4 linked regions of the Rhinolophus ferrumequinum genome follow. The protein of the gene in region 2 purifies or fractionates together with the protein of the main gene of each other region. This does not show direct contact. Links are inferred from orthologs where the notes say so. Each region holds a gene or a part of one and is shown on either strand. Other genes may lie near its edges.

Evidence for each region.
Region 1: the proteins of PSMG2 (region 2) and PSMG4 purify together in Homo sapiens (affinity purification with mass spectrometry; 3 studies listed by BioGRID and IntAct, counting the BioPlex papers as one, with this or other methods). This does not show direct contact. The link is inferred for Rhinolophus ferrumequinum from reciprocal best matches to the Homo sapiens genes PSMG2 and PSMG4.
Region 3: the proteins of PSMG2 (region 2) and PSMG3 purify together in Homo sapiens (affinity purification with mass spectrometry; 4 studies listed by BioGRID and IntAct, counting the BioPlex papers as one, with this or other methods). This does not show direct contact. The link is inferred for Rhinolophus ferrumequinum from reciprocal best matches to the Homo sapiens genes PSMG2 and PSMG3.
Region 4: the proteins of PSMG2 (region 2) and PSMB9 purify together in Homo sapiens (affinity purification with mass spectrometry; 3 studies listed by BioGRID and IntAct, counting the BioPlex papers as one, with this or other methods). This does not show direct contact. The link is inferred for Rhinolophus ferrumequinum from reciprocal best matches to the Homo sapiens genes PSMG2 and PSMB9.

What each region holds. Positions count from the first base shown.
Region 1 is NC_046292.1:90,572,465-90,580,163, forward strand, and holds the start of PSMG4 (proteasome assembly chaperone 4), read right to left. Parts: upstream 3,005-7,699; 5' UTR 2,870-3,004; coding exon 2,696-2,869; intron 1-2,695. UniProt on the Homo sapiens protein: Chaperone protein which promotes assembly of the 20S proteasome.
Region 2 is NC_046302.1:5,541,658-5,548,995, reverse strand, and holds the start of PSMG2 (proteasome assembly chaperone 2), read left to right. Parts: upstream 1-4,321; 5' UTR 4,322-4,468; coding exon 4,469-4,525; intron 4,526-7,338. Other genes in the region: CEP76 (centrosomal protein of 76 kDa), read right to left, coding at 677-901, 1,525-1,606, 2,605-2,760, 3,815-3,877. UniProt on the Homo sapiens protein: Chaperone protein which promotes assembly of the 20S proteasome as part of a heterodimer with PSMG1.
Region 3 is NC_046307.1:43,891,535-43,898,832, reverse strand, and holds PSMG3 (proteasome assembly chaperone 3), read right to left. Parts: upstream 2,553-7,298; 5' UTR 2,493-2,552; exon of another isoform or gene 2,439-2,492; intron 1,837-2,438; 5' UTR 1,815-1,836; coding exon 1,599-1,814; intron 985-1,598; coding exon 832-984; 3' UTR 504-831; downstream 1-503. UniProt on the Homo sapiens protein: Chaperone protein which promotes assembly of the 20S proteasome. May cooperate with PSMG1-PSMG2 heterodimers to orchestrate the correct assembly of proteasomes.
Region 4 is NC_046286.1:3,316,043-3,323,619, reverse strand, and holds the start of PSMB9 (proteasome subunit beta type-9), read right to left. Parts: upstream 3,011-7,577; 5' UTR 2,871-3,010; coding exon 2,811-2,870; intron 952-2,810; coding exon 884-951; intron 172-883; coding exon 40-171; intron 1-39. Other genes in the region: TAP1 (antigen peptide transporter 1), read left to right, coding at 3,479-4,076, 4,560-4,674, 4,838-4,968, 5,727-5,932, 6,359-6,556, 7,392-7,520. UniProt on the Homo sapiens protein: The proteasome is a multicatalytic proteinase complex which is characterized by its ability to cleave peptides with Arg, Phe, Tyr, Leu, and Glu adjacent to the leaving group at neutral or slightly basic pH.

The sequences.
Region 1 (7,699 bases), on a different chromosome or scaffold from region 2:
AGGCCAGCCCACAGGTCAGTCTGCCCAGCCCAATTCCACAGGAATCTTTGTTTTCCTGCCTTAAGCTTTGGCCTGCACCTCTTCTCTCCAGCTGGCCTGGTCCTCAGCCCCTGGAGGGCAATGTCTAGGCACACAATGTAGCCAGGCAGTGGGAATGATTCCTTTCCTTCTCCTGCCCCAGTCTCGATGGAGGGTGACTTTCCAGCTGAGACACTCGCACTACTAAGAGCTATGACTACCGAGCGGTCAGACCACCAAAGCAGCCCACAGGAGGAGCCTTGAAACTGATTCACACGCTCCCCGCACTGAGGTCCTGGGCCTCACGCAGCCCACAGCCTTACACAGGTCTCTGACCGCGTCCTTAGGATTAGGAGACAAAGGTTAGGTGGCTCCAGGGCGCCATGACCTCCAAACACAGCCACACCCATCAAACCCCTGCCCCTCTAGGCCCTCCTTGTCTCCTCTAATAAAGGAAGACCTGGAATTGTCACCTGCCCAAAGGCCCACCTGCTGGTACCCACCAGCAAAGAAATACAATAAAATAAACCTAGGAAAAGAAGATTGAGAAGAAGGGGAAAGGCATATGAGAAGAGCAACCAGAAGGCAAGGGGGAAACTGTGTGAGGATATCCAGAAGCCCCATTCAGAGGCTGTGTCCTTCCCGACGCTTTGCCCAGGTCCTGCCTGATGCCTCCCTCCTCTGATTTCCCACCATCCCCGAGGCCCCTGGCTATGGAGCCTGGTCGTCCTCCCTAGCAAAGGGGGAATTCCCTGCGGCTGCCTCCCCCATTCACTCATCAAGGGTTTAATGGGCAGCCTATCAGGCACTAGGGACACAAAAACTCATAAAACGGACAAACTGCAGAGGGAGCAACACCTGGGGGCACAGCAGTGGGCTTAGAGCAGCCAAGAGGCCAGGCAGGAGGGTAGGAGCAGGAGAGCTCTCCCAGGTAGCAGGGTCTGGGGGTCACAGAAAAGGCTCCGGACTGTGCTGAGTTTCTCTCCGGAAAGGTCTGGAGCAGAAGAATGACATGTCTAACTGCAGTCTGCTGCCCCACGGAGAACTGGCCGTAAGGCACTGTTTGGGTTGAACATATCCAAAAAGATATGTCCACGTCCTAAGCCCTAGTACCTGTAGATGTGACTTGACTTAGAAACAGGGCTTTGCAGATAAAAAGATGTCAGCTAAGATGAGGTCATACTGTAATAGGGTGGACCCTTAGTCTATTACGACTCGGGTTCTTATGAAAAGACACACATAGACAGAGACACGCAGAGAAGGCCACGTGACACTGGAAGCAGCAAGTCAAAGAACACCAAGGATTGCCAGCAACACCAGAAGATGGGAGAGAGGGAAGGGATAATCTCTCTCTGAGCCTCCAGGATAAACCAGCCCTGCCAACACCTTGATTTCAGACTTCTGGCCTCCAGAACTAGAAGAGAATAAATCTCTGTTGTTTTTTAAGCCACCCAGTTTGTGGCACTTCATTACAGCAGCTCTAAGAAAGTAATACAGGAAGCGAAGGGGGAATCAGCCAAGGAGGAGAGATCCTGCAGGCCTGGCCCAGGGCACCAGGCCTGAAGGAGGTGAGCTGTGGTCGGATTCTGTGTATGTTTGTTTTTTTTTAAGTATGGTTGACATACAATATTAGTTTCAGGTGTACAACATAGTGATGATTATACATTTGTATGCCTTACGATATGGTCACCACAGTAAGTCAAGAAAACATGTGACCATACAAAGTTATTACAATACTGTTGACTATATTCACCATGCTATCCATTCCATCCCTATGACTGACTTATTTTATAACTGAAAGTTTGTACCTCTTATTCTCCTTCAACTTTTTTACCCATCCCCCTACTCCATTCCCTTCTGGCAACCATCAGTTTGTTCTTTGTATCTACGAATCTGTTTCTGCTGTGTTTGTTTGGGGTATTTTTCAGATTCCATATAAGTGAAAATCATACAATATTTGTCTTTCTCTGAACACTTAGTATAGACATGTGTGTTCTGAGGGCAGTGCCCTCAGATTCGCTACCATTCAGCACGTGGAGCGTGGAAAGGAGAAATCAAGGCTAACTCCTGGTTCCAGTGGAGTTATCATAACAGAGATAGGCTGGCTGTTACAGGAGCAGCTTTGGGGGAAGAAGTCAAGAGTCTGGTCTTGAATATGTCTCGTATGAGATGCCTATTAGACTTCCAAAGTAGAGACACAGGAGTCTGACGCTCAGGAAACAGGTCTGTACTGGAAACACAGATAAATGTCGGTGTGGTCAATACAGAAAGAGCATGAAAACTACGGCAGATGCCAACCCCAAGGATGGGAGTGTAACGGGAGAGCAGAGGTCCTACGGTGAAGCCCCTGGACACTCCAACCACAGAGGTGGGAGCCAGCAGAGGAGCGGGAACCGAAGGAAGAGGCCTGCCTGTGGTCCCACGTGCTGGCATGACGGCACACAGCCCCCCTTCGGGTGGTGAAGGTCCACACAGACCCTCCCTTCCTTAAGACATCACAGAAAGAGTTCTGGAGTGGATCCGGGGCCCACGCCCGCGCCGAGGCCCTTCACTCACCCTCCCGCCCAGTCACTCCGGCCCCCCAGCTGGCCGCGCCGCCTAGGGACCGCCGCACCTCCCCGCGTCCTCTCCTCTTCTCCACCCGCGCTCCGCCCGCCCAGCCCAGGCCGACACTCACGTAGCGGCTGCACATGGCCACGGCGAGGTTGCGCAGGTGCGGTGTGGCCCCCACCCACAGGAAGAGCGAGTCCGTCAGCCGCATGACGTGGAAGTGGACCAGCTGCTCCCACAGCCTCGCGCTGAAGTTGTGCAGGGACACTTCCCCACCCGCGGAGGCCCACTGCCCCTCCATGCCGCCCGGCGGGCCCCCGGCCCACAGGAGCCGCAACTCTAGTCCCCCTAGCGGTCGGTGATCCGGTCAGACCGGAGCAGACGAGCGCCGAGCGACCGAGTGTGCCTCCGCTTTCGGTCCCGGGCAGTGGGTGGGGCCTAGGGCCGGAGTGGGTGGGGCCTAGGGCGGGAGTGGGCTGTGCCTAGAGCTTGAGTGGGCGGGGCCTAGGGCTGGGGTGGGCGGTGCCGAGGGGCGGGGCCAGGCAGCTCAAACTCTCGGTGCAGACAGGATCCTGGCGGCGCCACCCCGCCGCCTTCTCTAGGCGCTTCTGTTCATCGTTGAACGCTGGAGGGAAACCCGCTCTTGTCACCAACCCGGACAGGCACCTACCGCCGCCCGGCAGAACTCGCCCTCGCTTGTTCCCTTCCTCCGCCACCCCAGTTAGTGCAGACTAGTAGCACTGCTGTGCTGGAGCTAGGGGCAACGTCTTCCCAGGTCGTGACACGTCGCCCTACAAAGACAATCCCGTTTTAATTACGTAATTCCTTAAGCACCCGAGAGCAGCCACCACCTATCATACCATCTTGTGTTTAGATTATCAAAATCTTCCTCCTCCTGGCAGCCCTGTAACTCCAGGCTTCCCTGGACATAGATAGCCTGAAGAATGGCAACGATGTTGGGAGAAAGCTTCTATAAAGGAAAATTGCGTGGACTGAGTTGCTGGGAGAATGAGCAGGCACGCTTATGGATTCAGACCTCCCTCTCTCTCACACACACACACACACGCAGCTGCAGTTATGTCCAAGCCTTGAACTAACTTTTTAACGTCTCTGAGACTCAGTTTCTTTATCTACAAAATAGAAATAATAGGTACCTCTCAGAGAAGTGGAAAGGAATATGAACAAGTACGAGAGAAACACAGTGAATGGTGGCCATTATCCCTGAGGGACTCTTTAATTTTAGTCACTTTGAGACACTACAAAGTTGAAATAAGGAAGCCTTCAGAATGTTAAAGGACATTGCAATAAAAGCAAACGGTCCATTTTGTCCGATTCTGTTAGAACTGACTGTTGGATTTTAAGTCAGAACTATCAGTTCTGCTTTTTAAATCTCTAATAGGTTTAAGTTGACTATATTCAAATTTTAAAGAGTAAGTATTCTTATAGGTTTGTCCTATTTGCTAATTATCAGTGATTCAGTAATATAGTTAATTTTCAGGTCAATTTTTAAACAGCTTTATTAAGATATAATTGACATGCAATAACTGCACATATTTAAAGTATATAAATTGAAGTTTTGACATATATATAACCCATGAAACCATGGCTATAATAGAGATAATGAACATGTCCACCACCCCCAAAGGTTTCCACAAGCCCCTTTGTAATCCCTCCTGTCTCTCCCCCAACCACGAGTCTGCGTTTTGTCACTACAGATTAGTTTGCATTCTCTAGAGTTTTACATAAATGGAATCCTACAATGTGTACTATTTTTTGTCTTCTTTTTCACTCATAATTATTTTGAGATTCATCTAGGTTGCTGGGTGTACGAATAGTTCATTCCTTTTTATCGCTGAGCAGGATGCTATTGTATGGCTACTCCACCGTTGTTTATCCATTCACATGTTGATGTTCATTTGGGCGGTTTCCCATTTGGGGATATTACAATAAAGCTTCTATGAACGTATGTGTACAAGTGAGTCTCTGTAAGGACATATGCTTTCATTTCTCATAGATAAATACCTAGTAGAATGGTTGTATCATATAGTGGTTATATGTGTAACTTTTCAAAACCTGACAAACTGTTTCTCACAGTGATTTGCATTTTCTTAAGTTCTAATGAACTTCAATTCATATTTCACATCATACACAAAAATGAATTCAAATGGTTCATGCACCTAAACATAAAACATCAGACTATAAAACTTCTAAAAGAAAACAGGAGAAAACTTTTGTGACCTTTAGTTAGATAGACAAAGATTTCATAGATAAAACACCAAAAGCATGATCTACAAAAGAGCAAATTGACAAACTGAATTAATGGAGCAGATGATCTCACCCTCACCTCAACTCTAATACCCTCTAATGCTTTGTACTCCTAGAAGACAAACACAATTTTTAAAATGGAGACTTTATATCTAGAGGATTTTAAAGACCTGTCTGGGGAAATGTAATAGTTAACACCCTATTGCCTCACTCTCCTCGCCAACATCCACGCAGCACAAGTGAAAGCATGCTCCTCTCTGCTTCTTCGTCTAGGCTCTGAGCATGCCTGGGAAGTCACATGACCCTGGAGGAATGGTTAACAACCAGTGATGCCCCTCAACATCAGCTGCCCCTTAAACACTGCCCTGCCTTCCCCAGACTGTGTACTCTCTCGCTTACCCTGAGGACTATGCTCTTCAAGCCCTAACCCTACAAACCCAAGTTCAGCAGACGACCCTGCTTCTGATTCTATAAAGAAAACAGAGGTTATCAGGCTTGATGTTCCCAATTCCTTGTCCCTCTACTCAAACCCTCATCTTCATCTGATCCCATTCTTACCTCCTCCTACTTCTCTTACAGGGAAAGACGCGCCTCCTCTTGTCAAAGTTTAATCTATCTACTTGTGCTCTGACCCTATCCTTCTCCACGTCCTCAGGAACCTCACTCCATCGACTATGGTGGACTCTGAGATGTCCCTCCTACATCCCCTTTCAAGAAAGGACTTCTTGTCCCAGCTGCTGGAAATGCTGTTAGCAGAATTCTTCTGCTGTGTCCTCCTTCAGAGTCTGCACACACTTCCTAGGGCAGCCCGTATCCAATGACTCATGGAGGTAATAGAATAAAGGCCAGGCCATTTTGACCCAGTGCAGGACAAGGACAACTGTGATGGGCCATTTTCACTCCAGAGCGTCTGTGGGATCAGCGGAGGCTGACTACTACAAGGGTAGTATTTACTTTACACCGTCAGAAGGAATCAAGGACAGATGATCAGGAGGCTGAGTGCAGTCATCCTAATAAATTCTTATGGTCCCTTGATCAGTTTCCAGACCTGGAACTCAGTAACTGAAGAAATGGCCCGGTTCCCTGCAACACCGTGTCAAGTATACACGTATTACTTCCCAGCCCTTCCCCAAAGGGTCCAATGGCCATTTATTCAGATAACCATATACTAGGGAAAGAGGAAGACCCAAATATTTCAAGGGTCAGAGTTGGAATGGAGTTCTGGAGACCTGAAGTGTCATCAATGTCCTCCTGCTACAGTGGGAACATACAGGAACCAGACAACAAATGGAGTCCTGGCCAAGGATCCATTGGGTCTACAGACCTCTCTGGGGTCATTTGCCTGGTCCCTGAATATATAATTGGAATGGACATAGTTGGAAGTTGGCACAGTCACCACATCGAGTCCTTGGCCTATGAGTTAAGAGCTATCATAGTGGAGAAAGCCAAGTGGAAGACTATGAAACTGCCCCTTCCCCAGCCAATCAACATTGCATCCAGGGGAGGATGGTGAAAATTAGTGCCACCTTTGGGGACCAAAGGATGCAGTAATGGTGGTCCTCATCATATCTCTACTTCACCATCTGCATCCTGGAAGACGGCACTGGACTACCATACTCAGCCAAGAAGCAGTGCCAGTTACAGCTGCCATAGCAGATGTGGTATCTTTGCTAGAGCAATATAATAAGGCCTCAGGTACATGGTATATGACCAAGGATTTGGGAAATGCATTCTTTTCTATTCCAATCAGAAAAGAGGAGCAGAAAGAGTTTGCATTTACATGGGATGAACAGAAATATTCATTTATAGTTTTGCCCAAGAATATGTTAATTCTTCACCTTCTATCAGAATGTAGTTTTGAGAGACTAGACTATCTAGATGTCTAGACATTCTACATAATATCACATTGATGCATTATATCATAGTCACCTCAGTTCACCAATGCCCTGTCTTTGGTTCACACCTATGGCCATACGGGGATCCCACAGAAATAGCTGAAGAGTGAGGTAAACGCCTAAGTTTAGCTCTTGGATGGGTCGGTGTGGGGTAAAAGCTACAAATGGATGGCAGCTGCACTACAGCCTCACTCTAGCATTGCACCCAGCTGTCCATCTTGCTGCTGCCACCACCAAATGTCCTAACTACCAACAGAGATCTAGCCTTAGGCTCTGTTATGGCACCATCCACATGGTAGCAAGTTGGTGATGTTGGGCTCTTTCCAGCCAGAGGGGCCAACAATTTGTTCTGACAGGAAAATAACCATGTTTCAGGTATGGGATTTCCCTCCCTGTCCACAGGGCCGCAGATGGCGCCATTATCTGAGTACTTTCAGAGAGTATGGTCCTCCTGCATGGCACTCGCATAATATCACATGAGGCAGCAAAAGAGGTGGGAGAGGGGGCCCAGACCCATTCCAGCCACTGACATACCACACTGTATGCCACCCACAAGCTGCTGCCCACAGCAGGTAGAAATGCTCAGAAATGATCATTTAGAAGGATGGAGAGTTGTCTTCCAGGACCCTGTATACAACTTGAACCAAAGTTTGTATGATGCTGTGTCTCCAGCAAGAAAACCTCATGAGTCAGGGATCCAAGAAGTGGAAGCAGAAGCAACCTCAACTCCCATCATTCCCAACAACACATTTAGGGGATTGTGCTTCCCAAACAGATTAGGGGCTCTGTTTCCCAAAAGGAGGACACTGCCACCAGGGGACACAGCAACAGTTCCACTAAGCTATGTTATGGCTGCCACTGGGCACTTGGGGCTCCTGTGTCCAGAGTCCAGCAAGTTGAAAAAGAGTCACCATCCTGACAGGGGAAGTCCACCCTGATCAGCAGGAGGAGATAGGGCTTATCACCCAGTG
Region 2 (7,338 bases):
TCCCTAATCCTCCAGAAATAATCACTGTATTATCTATACAAAACTGAAAGACCCAACACCTTGGAGCTAGCAATTTAAGCCATAACTGCTTTATTAGGGTAACACTTTTCCCTGGGGGGGAAATAAATTTTACTGCTGCATTAGCCATCTTAATAACGTAAAACTCTGAAGATATAATTTACAACTGTTAACTTTACAAATATAAAAATTTCTATATTGACAATTAAAATGTATAAAACACCTTTATAAGATGAAGCGGGTAAAACAATTATAGGAATCAAGTATCATAATTTTAAAGTTATAATAATGAGTTACAGATTCACATCTAAACTTTGATTATTTTAAGTTACATAACACCATAAATCGAGTCATCTTTCATAAATGAGAAGAATCACGTCTCATTTTCCACTATATCCCCAGCATTTGCCTAATAGTACCATGCACCTAACAGGTATTTAAATGTTTCCTACTAAAGAACCAACCATTAAACAGTCAAAAAAGAAAACAAGAAGGTGGGTAGTAGTAGTTTATGTAGAAAAGAACAGTGGGGAAAAATTTTTTTAAAAGGTTAGGGAGATTCACCCGTTATATATTTCTTATTATAACAAAAGTTATTCTGCAATAAAACCTCACAGAGATTTACTCAGTTAAATGACAATTTATTATTGCTCCTTACCTAAGCTTTCTCTGTGTACTTCAAGTAAAAAGCCATCGTGAAAATCTGGCTCACAGGCACATGGAACAGGTTTAGAACGAAAACGCTGGTTTCGAAAATGTAAACATAAAGTAAACGTTGAACAAACTTGTCCTGGTAAAGGCTCAGGTTCTTGCAGATGTTCCAAGAAAGCTTTTCCACCCAAAACCTGAAGGTAAAGATACCTCCGTGTTGGATCAATATTAGCTGTAAAGTGTAGCAATATATATGAGGAAACTGCCAAATAATGTAAGGAATGTGAACAAGACAATAGGAAATAACAACTTGACAGAAATAAAAACAAAGACTGGGGGGAAAAAAGTAACAAATTTACAGTATACCAGGACCATTTGCACCCAAGGAAGAAAAGATACATAATATGGTATCTTTTTCTGAGTTTGTATTCTGGCTACTTTTTCTCAGCTAGAAAGGAGTCAGAGCCAAGGTTTAGGATAACTTTGCTCTTTAGTTGCTATCCAACTATCCATTCCTTCACCTCCACAAACCAACTCAATTATCTCAACTCAGCAAAGTGTACTTGTGAGATAATTACATAGCCACTAAAAAAACACAGTTGTAAAATTTTTATAAAATATATTACTAAAACATGAGAAACAGGCGGTCCTATTTTTGCTTCCACTTTGCTATACATTAAATCTTCTGATATCATGCAAAACAGAATTGAAGCTTTTTGGATTAGTCACAAAAATATAAGTATTTCATTCTGGAAAAAAAAATTGAAGTGTTTTCTATCAAATACCAAACACTACAGCACGTCTATTCACAGTACTATCCACAAGTAAATTAAGGTTAAAAAGAAATACACATACTTTTTTTTAACAACGTTGATTGTTTATCAGTAAAACAAACTGATTGTTTTGGAGAGGAAGGAAGTTCTTGATCAACACTGTCCTAGAAAGGCAGAAAAATACAAATCAGAAAACAAAAATTATAATTAAGAAATGCCAATAATGGAACTAAGAACCAAACCAAAAGAAGATAGAATAAAGCCCCTTATTTTCCTCAAACAGTTCAAATAATGAAAAGCCTGCAAAAAAGGTGATGCAACTAGTCAGTCCTACAGTTTAATGTTAAGGAACTAAACTGTCTTCAAGCAATGTCCACAGAATGCTAAAAAAAAATCCTTAATACCTCAAACAAGGTCAAACTTTCTCTAAACCTCATATAACATTTGGCTTATGATTGTACCATGAACTGATTTTAATAAGGAAGTGATATTCACACACAGCAGAAACTGTTATTAGGTCAATTTTTATACCAAATGGGTTTACAAACCTCAAAAACCAAAAAAACGAGGCTGTATTAAAATACTTATCCCCTGGTGTACTATGAAGTCCATCCAAATTCTACATTATATTTCCCAGGTATTGAGGTCACAATTTCTCATTATTGCCTCATTTTCAAAAGGCCTACTTACTAATTTGTACACTGAGAGGGAGGCTATCATTCCATTACTGACCTATTTGTCTGAAAAGCTTTAAAGATTCTTATGCAGACAATTATTTTCTTAAAGGAATTGATAATTTCTTAATCATAGATAATATTGTCCCGAGTGTTTATTTTAAAAATAAGCCTAATTTTTAAAATTATAGAATATTAGTGAAAAACAACTAGGTTATGTTTGACTAAAATATATATACTTAAAGTTACAGACTTAGAGAATAACAGGAGAAAATTCTGTCACTGTAGAGAGAGAAGAATGGTATATATGTACAATTTCATTGATACATAATCCTACATTGAATCTACATTCAATTGTAGAATTAGTTTATACTTGAAACAAGGATATTACTAGGCAAAGCTACCATATTTTGAAGTGGTTTTACTAAAAGAAGAGGCCCCAAAATATGCTTAGACTCTCAGATTTTCTCCTCTACAAGCTTACTCACAGTAACAAAATTAAGTTCTTTCATCACATCGTCAATGATTCCACGACGTCTAAGAGCTTTGATCAAATCTTCTGTTGATAACTGTTGTTGATCAGGTGCTAATTCTTCCCGTATTGTCTCAGCAAGGATTTCTCTTATTCTGCCATGGACATCCATCTACGTAGAAAACTCACATTACAATTCACATTACAAAGCAGACAAATATTGCCACTTAGTTCATTTCTTTCTAAAATACTGACAAAGAAAAGAATAATAGGAGAGTACACTAAAATCGGGAAGGCTTCTCAAACAAATAATAAATGTAAAATTGTTACCAGAATTCAAAGATAATAAAGGCGAGATTTTTAAAAGGAAAAAAAATTTTTTTAAATGAAAACTTATACTACAAATTCTAGAAATAATCTCTACTGGTTATCTACTACTTTTGTTACTATTTCCCCACAAATAACATTCAACCAAAACAATCTTTGGAGAAAGAGTATAGTATAATCAAAAGAACACAGACCGAGGGGAGGGGATCAAAGTATGACTTTCACCTTACAACTTATTAGATGTGATCTTGAGTTAACTTATTTACCTTTTATGAATCTGGAAAAAATAGTGCCGTCAAGGTTATTGTGAGGCTCAGATAAAAGACGCTAAACACTTAGTACAAAGCCTGGCATCCGAGTGCACAATAAACGGTAGGTTTTATTACTTCAGCTTAATTGCATTCAGTTGAGCACCTCAAAGATACAATGTTCTTCTTGAGCTCTGAAGTATCACAAATGCTTTCATTACAAATCCTTACTAAATTCTTTCATAACTTCTTTAAGAATTGTCAATTTGGTTCAATATCAATGACACCTGAAGTTCCACCCTTAAATTAATTCTAATTTCTGACCTTTGAATATAAACCTGCTCCAAACACAACTTATACTCGATATGACTTCCAGAAGTCATTGGTACACGCTTCATTTTCACAACTGTCCCATAATACTAACGCCGTTCTATCACCTCAGACTCTTACTAGCACTTTCTGAGCTCGTTCTCATTATCGAGCCTAGACAGTTCCTCTGGCTTCAAACCCGAAGCTTTGCACATCCCACGCTCTGCGTCTCACAGCCTTTGCTTGAGTCCCCAGCAAACAGGTGCCACAGTCGGCCGGGACAAGGGACACAAAGCTGGACACTTGGGGCCACTGGCGGGAAGAGCGCCCGCGGCCCCTCACCTTGCTCAGCTGCTGGTGGATAAGCTGCTTCAGCTCAGAGGCTTTCTCCGGAGGCAGCGACATGCTGGGGCTGGCGCCTCAACACGGATTCCCTTCGCTTCAGGTGCCCCAGCCGGCCCCAGAACGTCAGTGTGGGGTGAGCACAGAGCCGGCGCGACCACTTTCCTCGCGCAGCTCCCGCGGGGGCGCGACGCCGCATCAAGCCCGGCGCTGAGCGTGAGGCGGGGACGTGGCTGCGGCGGCGCCCAACTGTCGTTTTCAAACGGCAGCGGACAACCAGGCCTCGGAGCTGTCCCCCGCTCTGCCTGGTCAACTCCACCCACTCCTCTTCCCTCGGGGTCCCCACCTCGTGACCTCAGCTCAGCCAAACTCCTTGCCTTGCTAGTGTCTCTGGATGCGCGCTCTCCGCTCCCATTTCTCCCTCCCTCGAGGTCCCTTTCTGTTTTCTGGAACGGCAGATACGTGGACGAGCCTCTCAGGACCTCGCGCCGAGGGCTCGAAGGACCCAGTCCGCCTGGCCCCGCCCTGCCCGGGTCGCGCGGGGTTCTAGGGGCTCGAGCGTGCAGACCTTGAGAGCTCGTGGTTCTCGCTTTCTCGCCGCCCCGGTTCTTCCCAGGCCGGCACTCATCTCCTTCTTCCCACTGCAGTGCGACCATGTTTGTTCCCTACGGAGAGTCGGTCCCGGATCTCGCGGGTTTCACCCTCCTGATGGTGAGTCTCCAATTTCGCGAACTGGCTTGAGGCTGCTACCTCTCGGGAGGCGCCTGCGGTACCGCCACCCCAACTCGGGATTTTTCGTCCGGCCCTGTGAGAAAGCGAGTACTTGTTTCTATTTCGAGTTTTAAGCCTGCGCCGAAAATGTAGAGAGGTTGTCGCTGGAGGCGGCGGTCCAAATAGAACCTTTGTTGGCGCTATCACCAAACCTTGTATCTAAGTCTCCAGTTTGTGGTCTTTGTTGACTGTACAACGTAATGTGTTTGATGTTACCGATACGTTGTACATATGTGGTGCGGGACGTTCTCTTTGCTTTTTATACTAGAAAATCTTTTTTCAACTAGTTTTAGCGTCATTCTTAAGCTAGCAAGTCAGTCATTAACCAGAACATTACAATAGAGTAACAAGGCAACTTTTGCCAGTAGCTAACATATGGTTCTATCGCTCTTAAAATTGTCCATATTAATTCATTGTTTCAATAAACATTCTATGATGTGACGATATTAGAATAACACTAGGCCCATGTTCTCAAAGAGTTTACAGTCTAATAGGAAACACGTAAATCAATAAAGGCAATATATGCTAGGATAGAAGTTTTAAAAAGATACAGAAAGGCCTTAGGACTTATTGGGGGAGGGACACATGGCTCTGTTCAAAGCGTCATATGTGGAATCTTAAAAAAAAAAAAAATAGAAAGAAAGAAAAAAAAAAATAGAAAGAAAGAAAAAAACACCAAACTCATAGATTACAGAGAACAATTGGAGAGGTAGAGTGGAAGGGTGGTTGGGTGAAATGGGTGAAGTAGTCAAAAGGTACAAACCTTCAGTTTGCTAAGAGAGTAGATATTAAAAGTTTTTATCACAATAAGAAATTGTAACTGTGGTGATGGATATTAACTAAACTTATTGTGGTAATCATTTCACAGTATATACATATATCAATCATGTTATGTATCTAAAAGTGATACAGTGTTATATGTCAAAAAAGAATGATGGTAATAGAAAAATGACTTTTGGTCCGTTTTCATTGTAATGCATGAAATATCAATGAATGCCAAAATTAGTGTGCGATAGTGTTTGAGGAAGGGAATTTTCCATAATTTCACAGTATCTCCCTGAAAAATATTTATTAATCTCAAAATGGAAAAAGTACCTTTGCAGGAGCTACCTGGAGAAAAAAATGAAAAAGAAAAGCTTCATAGAGAAAGTAATGTCTAAAAGATTATTGGTGGTAACCTTAAAAAAGTTATCAGTGGAACAGTGAAGAGGGAAGCATATTAAAGTGGGTTGAATAAATGGGGAAGAGGTGGAGACGTGTATACGTATATATTTGTTCATTAATTCAGAGCTAAAGTTCCTGCTTATGTTTTAGTGGACAACCGTGGGGAATTTTGGCTATGGAAGGACACCTGGAAGTGAGGTGGTAGCTAGGGGAGTGTGTGGGATCAAGAGACGGTTTTTTACAAGGAAAGATATTAGAGTATGTGTATATGCTGATGGGAAGAATCCAGTAGTGAGGAAAAGATAGATGATACAGGAAAGTGAGGATCTAACGAAAGTAGCAAAATCGTTGAGAAGGGAAAGGGGATTACAGTGGATAACCAGCAATCAATGACAGCAATGAGAAGTGGGAGACCACTCTGAAGGACGCAGAAAAGTATGCAAAGGCCAGGAAAAAAAAATAGAATCAATAAAATTTAGATGTGCGTTAGGTATGGTTGGTAAAGGAAAAGGAAAAAGTGTCCTGGTTTAGGTAATTGGCTCAATAATTGTTTCTCTTTTCTGAAATACAAAATATGAGGACAATTTTGGGCAAAAGTTTAATTTTGTACATGTTGGATGTGAGTTACCTGTGACATAATCATGTGGAGATACACATTAGGCTCTGGAGTTTAGATGAGTATTCCAGGCTGTAGCTACAGATTTGGCAGTTGGACTATTTGAAGTCATGGGGTGTGTGTGTGTGTGTGTGTGGTGTTTTTAGTGTGAAAATAAGCTCACTCCAACATTTAGGCGCTAATAAAGCAAACAGAAAGAGGCCCCAACATCACTTTTGTTCCTACCTCACTGCCCTCCTTTATCTCTTTCAGGTCTATAAAGCAATTCTTTTCTTGACCACCCTATTTAAAATTGCAGCCAAACATATACACACACACTGACAGTCCTTTAATTTTTCTCCACTGCACTTAACACTGTATATTTTACTGGGGTTTTTTTTTGTTTGTTTGTTTACTGCAGGTAAACTACTCTCCCTAGAATGGAAGCTTTACAAAGGCAGGAACTTTTGATTTACATTCCCAGTGCCTAGAGCAACGATTGACATATAGTAGGTGTTCAGTAAGTGTTAAATCTGTAGTCTCAAAGGTGGAGGAGGTCCCTGCTGGTACCTTGCTTGCAACTACAGGAGAGTCAATATGTACCATGTTTCCCTGAAAATAAGATCTAACTGGACAATCAGCTCTAACGTGTCTTTTGGAGCAAAAATTGATATAAAACCTGGCCTTATTTTACTATAATATAAGACCAGATATGATATGATAGGATATGATATGATAGGATATGAGATCCGAGGTACCGGATCTCATACAGCGGTACCTCGGTTTTTGAATGTGATCGCTCTGGAAGACCGTTGGAGTTCTGAAACGTTCGAAAACAGCCAACAGCTAGGCCTCAGGATGTTGCACTCAGCGGAAGCTGCGTGACATGTTCAACTTTCAAGGCATGTTCAAAAACTGAAGCATTTGCTTCTGGGTTTACGGCGTTCATAAACCGAAATGTTCGTCAGTGTTTGAAAACCAAGGTACTACTGTA
Region 3 (7,298 bases), on a different chromosome or scaffold from region 2:
GACGGAGCCCCGGTGGGTCCCAGGCGACTGTCAGAGGCCTGGGCAGCCAGAAGCTGACTTCTGTGGTGTAAATGCCGTCTAAAGCCAATGCCTCACCCCAAGCTCCTGCCAATCCTTGGGAATATTTCCTGGGATTGTTTCCAAAGGGCAGACCCGACCTGACGTGCAACCCTTCAGCAGCTCCTCACTGAGCTCAGGATCAAGCGCAAGGCCGCAGCACAGCACAGAAGCCCTCCGCCTGTCCCACCACAGGTGTCACGCTCAGCCAGCCTGGACATCCTGCAGTCTGACAGCAGGATTGCCTGCCCTCCCCGTGCTCCTACCTCCAGGCCATTGGGGGAAAGGCCCTTCTTCCACACGCAGGGTTCCCACTCCACCGCGCCCCCCGCCCCGGGAAGGGGCAGTCAGCCCCGCTGGCCTCCCCCAGGCTGGCACACCACACTGAACTTGGCCGTGTGACTGAGGTTCTCACCACCCTTAAGAAGGCTGCTGAGGCATTCTGGGTTATGTGCTTATTTGTACAAACAGATTCTCCTCCAATAACTGATTCTGTACATCAACTGGCACGACCATTCTTTCCATTATCAAGTATGTGCAACTCCTTGGACCCTGGTGAGGACCAATCACGAGTCTCCCAACACCCCACATCCTCCCACCATCCACGGATGGTATCAGCAGCCAAAGAGAAGTCTGCCGGAGACAGGAGAATTTCTTCTGGCTCCAGTTCCTCCTCCTGATGGACTGAAGGCAGGGTCGTCTTCAAGTCGCCCGGAGGGGTCTGAGTTTTCACCTGGCCCCGCTGAGCAGCAGGTGTGGCCGCTAACTCCAGGGTCACCACACCTGGCACGTCTGTATCACCTCCTTCAAGGCCTTCAGCCCCTCCATGCTTCTGTCCTTCACGGCCATCGCAAGGAGGACCGCTCTGTTTCCAGCTTCTTGAGACACAAATGTCACCAGGTTCTTTGCATAGACGTGGATGAGGGGCTGGTGAAGGGAAGGGGAGAAAACCACTTTAACGGCAAGGAATCTGTTCTTCCCTCAAAGCCTTCATTAAGTGTCCCCCAGGAACCCAGACCGGCTGCCCACACCACCATTAAGTCGCCCTCCGAGAAGTTCCATACGACAGCGATTCAGAGTTCAACAAGACTCAGCACTCGTCATGTAAGCACACTGCTGAGGAGGCATCGTTCAATTTCTCAGTGCTTTCTGATTCCCGTCTCTTCCAACTATCTCTAATCTGGGAGGCCTCAAGAAAGACAAATGCGCAGAGGGAAAGCGTCAAATCTCACAGAGGATCTTTCTACAATGGAGCAAAGTCAGCCACTCATTAGCACAGTGTACCGTGACAGGGTCCACCTGAGGAGGGCGGCCCACGTTACAAATCAATACCTTCACTTATCTGCTGAGTAAAATGCTGACGGGCTGGGAAAAGCGTCAACTCTGGGCAGGTGGATGCCCTCACACCCAAAAAGGCCCCAGAAAATGCTGTCACCCGATGGCGGCGGGGGGAGCCTACCAGACTGCGTGTCTGTATTTACAAATGACAGCCAAGGAGGCAGCGTTTCCTCCCCACCGGCGTTCCCTGCCCAACCAGTTACCTCGTCCTGTCCAAGGAGGACTTTTGTAGTAAGCAGAGGCTTGCTGATGTCACTGGCCACATTGGTGGGCTCCAGGGAGACCAGCGTACCCATCTTCCCAAACTGAGTCACCACCACCAGGATGTGACTGCTAAAGGCTGTGCAGACCACCTGAGTGGGGACCCCACACACCACTTCAGTCTTCTGCTTTGATGTCACCAACGGCGTGCCTTCCATGGTTGAGTCTCTTCAATGGCACCTTTAGTTGATGTACGAAGGAAAGATGGGAGGGAGGGAGACGAGAGGAAAAGGCGCGAGTCAGTCAACGTCAGGTGGGCCGTGCGACTACAACGTTAAGTACCATTTGGCATTAAAACAGAACCATACGGAGGCCCATTCAAAAGCAAGTGTTTGCCCAATACAGGTTTCACCGGGAACGTCCTAGATTCGTTGATGAGACACGTATATACCGACAGGCAGAGAAGGCGGAATGTCAAAACACGCTTTTGTCTGTGGAGCGGGCTGCGGGGCCGCGTTTCCTCCTGAGCGCAGCCCTTCCCACGCGCTCGGCCCCCGCGCGCCGCATCGCCGCGCGACCCGCTCCCCCCCTGAGCGCGCTCCCGTGCCTCCCGGGAGTCATGCCACGGCCACCGGCGCGGAAGCAAGCTCCGCAGGAGCCCAGGCCGCGCAGGAGCCGATGGCCGCGCCCGCCGCCCCTCTGGCTCCCCACGGAGGTTTTACTTTCTGTGTTTCGGGAAACCGCCGGCCCCACAGAAGCAGCATCCCCCCCCCGCGGCGGACGAAGACCCCGGAGGCCGCGGGGCAGAGGGCGGCTGAGGAGGGACCACGGGGAACACCCACCCCTGTGGATCCCGCTCGCACGCACCCACGCGCCGCCACGCCGCCGGCGCTCACCTGGCTCAGCGCGGCCGGAAGTGACGCACGCGGGCGATGCGGGCCCCGCCTCCACTTTCGGAGCCCAGGCCCGCCCACTCATCCGGCTTCCACCGCCGGAAGTTTAGCTGGTGGGACTTCCGGTGCCCGGGCCTGTGCGCTGGCCCGGCCTCCCGGCGGTTGCGCCGCGGGGTGCGGTGCTCCGTAGAAGGGCCTGGCTGGGCGCCTCTAGACACGGTGCCGGGTGACTGGGGAAGGGGACAGCGGCCCCTGCCCATGGGCCTCGGCCCCGGGCCCGCAGCGAAGGGACTTCCGGCTTCTCCAGAAGGGGGCCCTCCAGCCCTCCTGAGGGGGGCCCTGTGCCTCTGTGGTTGGGGCGCCTCAGGAAGGGGATCTCCGGCCCCTTGGCCTTGGGTTCTAGGACCCTTCACATAGCGCAGGGAGCTGTCAGAGAAAAACCGGAGCTGAAAGGTTTAACTCCTGAAAACAGTTTTCAGCATGTGCACGTAAGAAAACGCCCAAACCTGTAGAGAGTTTTTGTAAGCGTTCATTGGAGCCAGACTGGTGACAGTTGCCGGGGAGCAAGATCTCACAGGCTCCGGAGAGACAGTTTGCAGTTTCTTTTATGAATTTGAAATTAAGGCGCGAACGAAGATGACGTGGAGGTGGGAGGAAGGCAGGTGGGGACGGGCCGAGGGGAGTTTAGATGACGTGCTCGCTTGCCTCGAGGTGTGTTAGCCGCGGTGCGCAAGAAGATGGACAGGGGTGCTTAAGGCAGACATAAACCTTTTACTAAAGGCGCATGCCTGGGGGATGTGACTACTGACTACCCACCATGACCTGCTCAGTGAGGAATTCATGATACGATCACCCTGTGAAGTGACTTTCCCTAGAAACCGTTTTTCATGCACAAGGACTATTGCACGAGGGCAGAAGAGACCTCAGTATAGAACGAGCTCAATCCCAACTACAACGTGGGCCAGTGGGAATTCACAGCGGAGGAGCAGGGAGGGGTCAGTGGGCTGGAAGTTACTAAGAGGAAACAGCAGGGGCGGGGGGAGGCTAGCCCCACCAGCCTAGCAGTGGGCTTGCTGCTGGCAGGTCAAGGTGATCAGACCGCCAGGGAGATGGGGGAGGGTAGTCAGATAAGGAGGAAGGGAGATTCTTGCTAAAATTGGAAACTGCAGAGACAACACAGAGTCCAAAAGTAGAGGCCTAGTTGAACTAGAGTTCAGGGGAGTCTGAGTAGAGTCCGGTCTAGGAGCGAATTTTTGTCAAAGCTCTCTGCCCTGAAGTAACACAGAGCCCTTTAACCCCCCAGTTGGTGCTGGGGACTCTGCACCCCCAAGCCCATCTGGGATGTCCTTTTGTGTCCAAGACAATAACGAGAACAGCTAACGTTTATTTGGTACTTAATATGTGCTAGACGTCGTTGTAAGAGGTTTATATATAGTAACCCATTTAATCTTAACCCCTTAAGTAGGAACACTATTGTTCCATTTTATAGACAGGATGTTCAGGTTCTGAGAATTTGCCCAAGGTCCCAAAGCTGATAGGCCTGGATATGAGCTGCAAACCTTTACCCTAATTACTGGTCTCATGTCACATATGCCCAAGTAAAGGGGAAGAGGAGAGAACAGTGCTGCCCCTGTAGCAGGATGATTTCTGGTTCTCCCCAGGACCCTTGAGAGCACCCCCATCCCGTACCACTGCTCATCCTTCTCCAAACCGGAAGTGTTATTGGCAGAATGGGGGGGGGGTCCTTGTGCTAACCACAGCAATCTGAGCCTTGAGAGTCTTCCTCCGGGGTTAACATCCCTTGAAACCCCACACTCACAACTTTCTGTCTAGTTTCCTGACAGCCTCATCAAGGCGCACCACCCCCAGCCCAGCCTGTCCACACCGCATACCCCTTAGGGAGCCTTGGCCACCATTTACTCCTTTGTCTAGTAACTTAACTCCTTACAAAACCCAATCAAATCCAGTGAAGCATGCTCCTGCTAAAATGATTTCTGGTGGCCTAAAATAAAAGGCATGTATACAAAACATGGTAAAAACGAACACAAAAATCAAGAGGTAACTTGTTTTTGAGCTTTCTTACAGCCAGTTCACAGAGGGAAATATTCTGAGTTTCATGGTTCCAATAACACAAAACGAAAGAAGCATATAATTTCTCAGGGAGTCCAAGTTTTTGTTGGTTCTAAATTTAAACACATCCACCCCCACATATCCAAAAATCAAATTGCCAATGTATTGCTTTGCTGTGTGAAACCTTCAAAAGATTCATTCATTTTTATTCACTTACTGTGCGTTCTCTCTCTCTAGATAAATAGACACAAGGAATCTGGTGCCCCCACAATACCACCTCTGAAATGACCTATCACCTTTATAAAAGAGATGCTGAAGAGCAAAGTGGGCCATGTTTGGATGACGCTTAAGCAAATACGTAAGTGCTTTCATTGGACTGTTTTTTGGTGTAGATCTTTGCTAAAGACTGAGCAGGAAAGAAGTGAGAGGCGGGAAGGCTGTCCTGGCCTGGGCGGTGGCGGTCCAGGGGCTGGCTTCCTGGGGACCTCCTGGGTATGCGGGCAGAATGCATCACTCAGAACTGTGGAGCAGCTCACTGTCTGCTGTAGACTGTTCTCCAGCGCAAGGCGGTCATTGGACTGGAAAGATCCCTAAGCGAATTCACTTAAAAAGGAAATCAGGTGGTAACGGTGTCAATAGTGGGGAAAGAGAATTTGAGAATTCATCTTGAAAAATAAAAAAAGGGGAGAAGATCTTGAATTTGTCTTATATTCAAGGAATTTTAGGTTATGAATGCAATTATATGCTAACTTGTAGAACCAACAAAGAATTAATCAAGTGTCGGTTTGGCAGGGTCATAATTTTCCAACAAACTGATAGCTCAACACATTGTGAGTCACTGTGAGTCCCTGGCCCTTGCGGAAATGTACGATGGCGCCGTCAACCTTCCCAAGAGCCTCCCTTAATCCTTTGCTGTTCAGCTCACTTCTTGTTGAAGTGCCATCCTGTCAGCAGCCTTGTCAGTTTCCGTGTTCTCAGTTGCCCACCTTTCCAGCACCCCAGGCTCCCCTACAGCTGCCATGGCTTTGGGCTCCATCTGAACATCCCCCAGTCGGACAGTTATGGGTGGCCTAAATCTTGCGTTTTTCTTGAGGTTACCAGTTTGACTTTGCAGTTGATTTGCACTGGACTCCACGGCGTCACAGTGTGAGTTGCAGGCCTTCCAACGTTGGGTACGCGCGTGTGAGATTCAGGGTCTACCCCCAATGGGGGTTTGAGTAGAGCCCCATGTGTAAACAATCAGTTCATTAGTGCAACGGCGTTGCGACGATTTCTATTTTCCTGTGCAGCCTCATGACTGCAGGCACTCAGGTAACGGAAACGTCAGCAGTAGGGACCACCAGTGTGTGACAGTCTTGGAATGGGTCAGAATTCCACATTCACAATCAACCTCTTTGGACATCACTTTGCACTTTTGGGTAACTTGCCCAGTCACCCTTGGTCTCCCAGCTTCATTGGGGATGACGATTGCGCCTGCCTGATGGCTGAGGTGGCCCACGTGCAGCAGGTCACCAGGCCTTTATGAGTGTAGCTGTCACATTTATCACTGGCCAGCTGTTCTCCCATCCTTCAGTAAGTGTGCCTGCCGGAGGACAGCTGGGTGCATGTCAAGCACTGAGATTAGGACGGATTCATGCTCAAGGCGCCGCTCGCTGCCTTGGCCTGTGGCCTGGGCGCCCGGCCTCGCAGGAGGCTCTGTGCAGGGCTTGCCTGAGTCACGGTCTTGCAGACACAACCCTCTCTCCAGTGTCTGTGAGACGCAGTAGGAGGTGAAACCGTATATAAGTGATTATCATGCTCACGTCTCTCATCGGGCTCTGAGAGGAGCTGGTAGCAGACAGTGGAAGGTGACAATTATGGTACAGGCCTGAGACATGGGCCTTAGATATGGATATTTTCTTATATTTGGGTTACAGAGTGAGGGAAAATGTACCACTAGGGTTTTTTCAAGTGTGGGTGGCAGACATCCTGTGAAACCATCTCATGCCCAAAAGGGTGGTAGGTGGGCTCTCACAGCTGAGAGACCAGAGACTCGCACAACTTCTCCCATCTCTTCACTCTGCAGTCATTGTGTTGGCTCCATTCTCACAGAGCTGTCCCTGTGTTGTGGTAAAATCACTGGCCTCTACACCTCAGTAGCTTTACTTTCCCAGTTCTCCCAGTAAAAGTGCCAGGATTGAATCTCTGGAGAACAGCCTGGTTCATGAGCCTGACCTTGAATCAGTCACTGTGGCCAGGAGATGGAATCCATGTATTGGCCAGTTCTGGGTCACAGGCCCAGCCCTGGATAATGAGTATTTAAAAAATAAGTTAATGTGAAAGCAACTTCCCATGCATTGGGAGTTAAAGCATCCTTCTAAATAACGTATGTCGAAGAAGAAATCATAAATGGAAGTTATAAAGTACTTAGAACTGCCCGCCCTTCCCTCCCTCCAGCTCCTGGAAACCACCCATCTACTTCCTGTCTCTGGACGTGCCATTCTGGACATTTCCTGTAAGTGGACACACACTGTGTGGCCGTCATGTCTGGCTTCTCTCACTCTGCCTCATGAGGTTCATCTGTGGCATTCCTTTTGGAGGAACCGATTCTTGTATGCTGAATAATTGGGACGATTAAGTGACATCTCATTTGCAGAAGGGCTGAGTTTAGGGCCTGACACGTACAGGGTGTTTAATAGTTTCCCTCTTTCCATGGGTCATTGGAATCCAGGGCGATACCACATAAGAGGCCCTCACGGG
Region 4 (7,577 bases), on a different chromosome or scaffold from region 2:
CGCTAGCAGGTGTAGTGTGAGGACCCCAAAGCTTCATACCCATGGAGCTCCAGCTGGTAGGCAGCCATGTCGGCCACAGCCTGGGCGTCAGCAGCCGAACCGGAGAGAGCACAGTAGATGCGATGGTGTAGTGGGGACAGCTTGTCAAACACTCGGTTCACCACCGCCTCTCTGTCAGGGAGGGGTCGACAATCATCGGCGTTAGAATTGCAGGAAGATTGAGGTTAATTGTCTAATGTTCCTCATATTTATTTGACAAGAGAACGACCACGGAGTGCACGAAATGTAATGCTTGGATCAAAGCAGGGAGCAAAAAAATCATCTGAAGTAAATGAAACACTGCAAGTAATCAAAATTAGACTTATTTTTAGGCTCAGATTTTATAACAAAATAAAAAATATTAAGTTACGACTAATGTTCCTCATCAATTTTTCTTTGCTAGTAACCATCTTGAGGAAGTTATGTGTTCTAAACATAAAGTAAGTAATATTGATCTAATCCCATATAGTCATTTTACATGTTAGGAAACTGACCAGGAGGAAGACAAAATTAGTTCAATAGGTGATAGATGAGAAACCAGAATTTCATCTTGTCAGAACCATCTTTTCTGCCTCTAACTATAGAAGGAACGAGGGCCCCTCAAATCTCTCTCACTATCCCCTTCTCAGACCTTATTCCTTCCAGGGACAGGCCACGTAGCATTCAGGCCCTGTATGATCCTCCTTGAATTCAGAGACACAAGCACCCACTTAATAGCTTATTAGTAATCTTTCTGAAAGGTTAATTCCATTTCTCCAAAGCTCCAGTTCACCAGACTCTTAATGAATGGGTAAGGAAAAGGCATATTTGGGGCCCGTAGATTTCTTCCAAAGCTGGTACTTACCCTGCAGATACTCGGGAGTCAGAACCCACCACAACGCCCCCATCAAACTGTACTGCCATGATGGTTGTCTGCAGAGACACAGAGGATAGAATGTCGGAGCAAGAAAAGCCTTGATCCCTTCCTGTCACATTCCCAGAGGAAACCTTCCCAGAGAGGGGAGGGGACTGGCTCAAGGTCACACAGTAACTCAGGCCAGAGCTAACTCCAGTACAGGATTTTTTTCTCCATCTTCCCATTTTCTCTATTGTCTCTCCCGGCTCAAGGGAATGGCAGCCTGGCCATGGTACAACACAGGAAGAACTGCATCCCTAAGCCCCAAACTTCCAAAGTGGAATCTTTTCCTTTGTAAAGAGAGAGGTGGGGAGGAGGCTACTAGAGGCAGAAATTTGGCTTAGTGGGCTCTTCCAAGCTCCGGTGAGCCAGCCTCACAAGTAAATTATCTCCACCTCATGTGCTTGTATGGCAGATGTGGTACAGACTTGGCGAAGCAAGTTACCGTGACCTTGGGAAACAAGCGCAGGTCTTTTTTGGGGTCCAGAATCCTCCATCTACATCCTCCCCATCCCCCCCTTAATCAGAAGTGAGCTCTTTCAGTTTATTGAACCCTGGAAAATGTCGAGGGGGTCCATGGTCAGCAGGGTCACGTCTCAGGAAAGGAAGAAAGCAGCAAGGAGCATATGAGACAGTTTAAAACAAAGGTTTCAAGTAAGGATTTCTGATTAAGAGGCAAATAGATATCTCATTAGTCAGGGGAAGAAATCTGTACTGAGAGAGGATTTGATTTGAGAGTTTCAGCTGACTTTTTCAGGTCAAGAAAAGAAATTAAAGAAGAGTAAAGGAGGATAAAGCTACACTTTATCTAGTCCTGTTGAGTTGGAAAAGGGCATAAAGATCCTTCGTTCAAATGAGGAAACTGAGTCATAGAGAAGGCACGTGACTTATCCAATCACTCAGAATTAATAACAGACTCAGGTCTAAAACCCAGGTCCACTCTGTTTGGCTGCTACTTCCTACTTTCTGCTGCTCATCTGGCAGTGAGGAGAGAGATTTTCTAATTTATAAGTGGGATTATTACTCTCTTTCTCACCACTCCCCAAGTTACTCTGCCCCCCCCCCAGCCCTCCGGGCATATCGCCCGTGAGTCCTCTCTCACATACTGATTTACCATGAATAGAGGGCCAGAGAGCAGGGGCAACTCATCCTCGGGGCTATTCCTCTGTAATAAAGTACCCCCAAGCCAAGAATGGTAGCAATAGTCTGGGAGCAGAAGCCAGCCAGCGGTGGGCTGCCGTCTGCCCCAGGAGCCCAGCCTGGGCAAAGCCCCCCAGCACGTGCGTGGGAGTGGGGAGAGAAGGCACCGGGAAGGGAGCAGGCGGCACCTGGACCAAGCAGGTGCCCTCCTGGGCCAAGCTGGGGAAGGGCACCACGGGCTCCCATGGAAACCTCAGTATCAGTGCTGGGGCTGTAAGTTGCCCAGGTGCCAGTTTATCAAAGTTCTGTGTGATGAGTTGGCTCTTCTCAATCAGTGCCCATACCCCACCCCCCAAATGATGTCCTATTGCATCCAGAGCACCGTTTCCTTATCTCTTTGCTCCTTCTCCAGCCCCCTCCTGATTTAACCAGCCCCTCTCTCTAGTCCAGAGTGAAAGCGAAAGCGCTTTAGAGCAAGCAGCTTCCCCTTGACGCTTCCAGCTAAGAGCCAAAGCACCCCTTTCTCCACCAGCCTCGCGTGCCCAGGCCCTTTGCGGGCCCCAAGATGATCCCCTTCAGAACAGACGCCCTGGATTCACTGCAGGGTGCAAGCACTGGGTGCTACAAGGAACCTCCTCACTCTTAGTCTCCGTATTCACTCCTTGGCGCTTCCAGAATCCCCCTGTCGCCCCACTTCCTCCACCCCTCTGCTGACCCTCACGCCCAGACTCATTACCCCAGTGTGCACTTCTCCGGCCCGGGGTAAGTCCCCGGTTGGCGCTCCGATCCGCAGCATCTCGGCGCCGCGCTCCTCGCCGCCTGCGGCACTGGTTTCGGACTTGGGACAGCCAGCTGCGCGCACGCTACAGTCCCGCCCCCTCTCCTCGCCCGCCAGGGGGCGCCAGCGTCCTCTCCGTGAGGCTTAGCGCCCCGACGCTAACCTGTGTGGGGCAGATCTGCCCGGAGACAGGTGACTAAAGAGCCCCACTCTGAGGCTGGGGTAAAGAAGTCTTGACAAGTGGATCCTACTTGAGGTGGCAAGAAAAGGAGGACGGACGGGTGTGCGTGATGGAGAGGTGGAGCACCAAGGCAGCTCCCCAGAACCTCAGAACTGATTAAACGGCCACTCCCGACAGAGTGGGGCCGGCGCGTCGGCGAGTGGGAGGCTCTGGTTGGTGCCGCGGCGCTTTCGTTTTCCCTTTCCCCTAAACGGCTCGCTTCTAGCCAGCACCGCGGGCTCTGCCGGCTCCCGGGGCTTTCCGAGAGCGCCGCCCGCCCGCCCCCTCGCGCCCTGCCCGGCCGCTGGTCCCCGCGCGCTCGGGACAGACTCCCACAGCACCCAGAGCCTCGGGCCCAGCGGGGACCGCCGAGAGTCCCAGGCCCGGGCGCGACCCCCGCCCGCCCATGGCAAGCTCAGCGCCCCCCGCTCCGTGCGGGTGCCACTGCCTCTCCCGAGCTTTCCTCGCGTGGCTGGGGTCAACGCTGCTGCTTCTCGCCGACTGGGTGCTGCTCCGGCCGGCGCTGCCCGGAATGTCATCCCTGCTGGTGCCCGCCGCGCTGCCGTTGCTCAGGGTCTGGGTAGTAGGCCTGAGCCGCTGGGCAGTGCTGTGGCTGGGGGCCCGTGGGGTCCTCAGGGCAACAGTTGGCACCAAGAGTGAAAGCAAAGAAGTCCAGGGATGGCTGGCTGCTTTGGAGCCACTGGCGGCGGCGCTGGGCTTGGCTCTGCCAGGACTTGCCTTGTTCCGAGAGCTGGGCTCGTGGGGGTTCTCCACGGACAATGACAGCACCAGGCTACTACACTGGGGAAGTCGCCTGGACGCCTTCGTCCTCAGCTACGCAGCGGCACTGCCCGCAGCCGCCCTGTGGCATAAGCTCCGGAGCCTTTGGATGCTGGGAGGTCACAGGGGTTCTGGAGACGCGGTGCGTCGGCTTCTAGGCTGCCTGGGCTCAGAGATACGTCGCCTCCCGTTCATTCTGGTCCTGTTGGTCCTCTCCTGCCTTGGTAAGGGGGTTCAGGGCCAGAGGGATGGACGCTGGGGAACTGGGCAGGAATCAAGAGTAATGATCCGTGAGATAGGTTACCGAGCTCTGGGAAATGTGGGTCAGAGAAAGGGGACTCAGCTCGGGTCTTGAGGAGACCACTCCTGGACGGGGTGGGAAACGGAGACCTGGACTCCAGTGCTGCCCCAGGCGTCACTTCACTAGGCCTCCTGGGGTAGGCAAGTCCTTTCCGCTGAGGCAGTATTTTTCATACAAGGGTATCTTAAGATACTCCATGATCTCTAGGCTTCCTAATTAAACTCCTCAAGGTCTGGTGGGGCCGCAGAGCTTTAAAGTTCCAAGCCGGCCTGCTCAGGTGCTGGGTTGTGTTCTGTGAGGACTTTCTGCCGCTGCCCTCCAGGATACTGGCGGGGGCGGTCTGGTTGGGGCTGGCCTGTTTAGACTTGATATCTGTGACTGACTCATCTCTTCTGTCCCATCGCAGGTGAGATGGCCATTCCCTTCTTCACCGGCCGCCTTACTGACTGGATTCTCCAAGATGAGGCAGCAGCTGCCTTCACCCGAAACATAACTCTCATGTGCATTCTCACCATAGCCAGGTCTGGGGGCTGAAGGTGGAAGGCTGAGAACAGGCGGTGGTGGGGGGTCGGGGGGCTGCAAAAGAGGGAGGTGGAAATGGAGGCTGCCGTCTAAAGTGCAGGGACCTGCTCTGTCCCCTGAGCACACATTGACCCTTGACCCTCTGTCTCTGTCTGTCTCCAGTGCAGTGCTTGAGTTCATGGCTGATGGGATCTATAACTGCACCATGGGCCGCGTGCACAGTCACCTGCAGGGAGAGGTGTTTCGGGCTGTCCTGCGCCAGGAAACAGAGTTTTTCCAACAGAACCAAACAGGTTTCTCATGAAACTCTTCCATTGTACATCCATATGCTATTTATATTCCCTGAGATCCCCTTGTACTTATAACTTTGATATCTCCCTCTTTCTTTCTCTCGCATAGACATTGTCATTTCTTATTTTTGGTATGCCTCAAGAGCAAAATATTGTACTCTTTACCTTCAGAAAAGCCTAGTTTTTCCAGCCAAGGTTTTTTCATAAATTTATCTCTATTTATGTATTTAGATGGAAACTATAACATTGCAAACCTGGACATTTTGATATCAGAGTCCAACTGCCTCATTTTACAGAGAAGGAAACAGGCCTAACCTCTTAAGTGCTGACACTTGCATGGTCACGTATGGATAGAGACGAACTTGAGGACAGAACCCATCTCTTGATTCCCAAAGCTTCCTGGACTGCTTTCTAGCAGCACCCTCCATTTTCCTCCAGCTGTGATATAACCAGCCTAAGCTCTTCCTGCCTATGTGTACAGCGTGGCGTATGCAAGTTCTTTAAGCAACAGAAATATGGGAATTTATATGGGCGTCAATTTCTTTACAATTAAAATGAAGGCTTTTGGCCAGACTTTCCCTGTCTAACATACTCTCCCTGCATTGAGACCCCCAAACTTCCCTGTACCCCGACTTGTTTTTCCCAGCCTCCTTAGAACACCATGTTGACACCCCTCCCCCTGGACCCCGGCTCACTACTGGTCCCTCCCATCACTCTGAGCCTGTCATTCACTCCTCTCTCTTTTCCCCAACCCCTGCCAGGTGCCATCACATCTCGAGTAACAGAGGACACGTCCACCTTGAGTGAGTCTCTGAGTGAGGAGCTGAGCCTATTGCTGTGGTACCTGGTGCGGGGGCTGTGTCTCTTGGGGCTCATGCTCTGGGGGTCACTGTCCCTCACCATGGTCACCCTCATCTCCCTGCCTCTGCTTTTCCTTCTGCCTAAGAAGCTGGGAAAATGGTACCAGGTATGTCCAAGGAGTTGCCTCAACCTACACAGACACTCATCTCCCTCACCTGGAGGACCCAGTTCCTCTTCGCTTTCTTTTCTGCACCCTGGCTGATTCTCCATGTTCCCGGGACTCCCCACTCCTGTAGTCCGTGTTCCCACATTGCTCACTGTTAGTCTTCATGGTCTCTGTGTGTTCTTTTCTAACTTCTGCCCACAGTCTGTCTTTAAGACTACGATCACCAATCTCAAGAATATGATCCCATCACGCTTCTGAGTCATTTTCCTCTCCTCTGGATCTCTTTAGGATCCCAGGGATATAGCCAAGTCCCTTTCTCTTCTCTCCTGTCCCTCTGTCTCTTCTCACCTTTTATCTCCAACCAGGTAACTCAGGTACTAGTGTCCCTTATGGTTTGCCAACCCTGGCTTGGACATGTCTCCACAGGTGCTGGCAGTACAGGTGCGGGAATCTCTGGCAAAGTCCAGCCAGGTGGCCATTGAAGTCCTGTCAGCTATGCCTACAGTCCGGAGCTTTGCCAACGAGGAGGCTGAGGCCCAGAAGTTTAGGCAAAAGCTGCAGGAAATGGAGACACTCAACCAGAAGGAGGCCCTGGCCTATGCAGTCAACCTCTGGACCACTAGTGTGAGAACCTGGAGATGAAGGCCTGCTCCCTTTCCCCCAACATACCTTGACTCCATTCCCTTTCCCGTGACCCGGCTCCACACTCCTCCTCCACTGGGCAATGGGGGTTTCAGTGTTCTCATCCTAGCAACCTGAGGCTCAGTTACCCTACTCAGGCTTCCTGACCCACTCCCTCCTTTTAGGCAAGCACCTAGCAGATGGCTTTCTTTCTCTGTGGCACACAAAATCTGCCCAACCCCCTTTTGAGGAAGATTCCATGCCTTCTAGAGCCTCCTTTGCTTCTCAGAGGGTGCTCAGGGAGCCAGAAATTCCTGCACCTGGGCTAGCTTCATGCTGGGACTGTGTGATGTGCTAGTGAGAGCCACGGGAATAGCAGAAGCCAAAGATGGGGGCACCTGTGGCGTCTTTAGAGGCCTAGACCAGCAAGCAGAAGCTCCTGGCTTGGTGCTGCCATTTACTAGCTCTGTGACCGTGGCCTCGTAACTTACCTTCTCTGAGACTGTTCCCTCATTTTTAACAAGTGGGAGTGATATAACCTGGTTTACAGAGCTCTTGATATGAATATTAGCTTACATTATATTCACGTAAGCCTTCTGTGACGAGCAAGACGCTCCCCAAACAAGCCAATAATGGTGATGATGATGGTGACTCTGTCACGTGTCACTGAGTAAGAGCACGGCATCTCTATGGTTCATTCTCCCTTTCTACTTACGGAGCGTCCTGCTGTTACATGGGGAAAGGGACTTTATATCTCATTAACGCTAAGGATTCTGGTTCTTTGTGCCCCGCTGTTAGATTTCTACCACAACCCCTTTTCTCCGTGATCTCTCCACAGATCTCAGGGATGCTGCTGAAGGTGGGAATCCTATACATTGGTGGGCAGCTGGTGACCAATGGGGCTGTCAGCAGTGGGAACCTTGTCACGTTTGTTCTCTACCAGATCCAGTTCACCACAGCTGTTGAGGTGAGGCCCTCCCAGTTGCACTCCCCAATGGTCTTCCTTGCCCCATCCCTCTGTGTC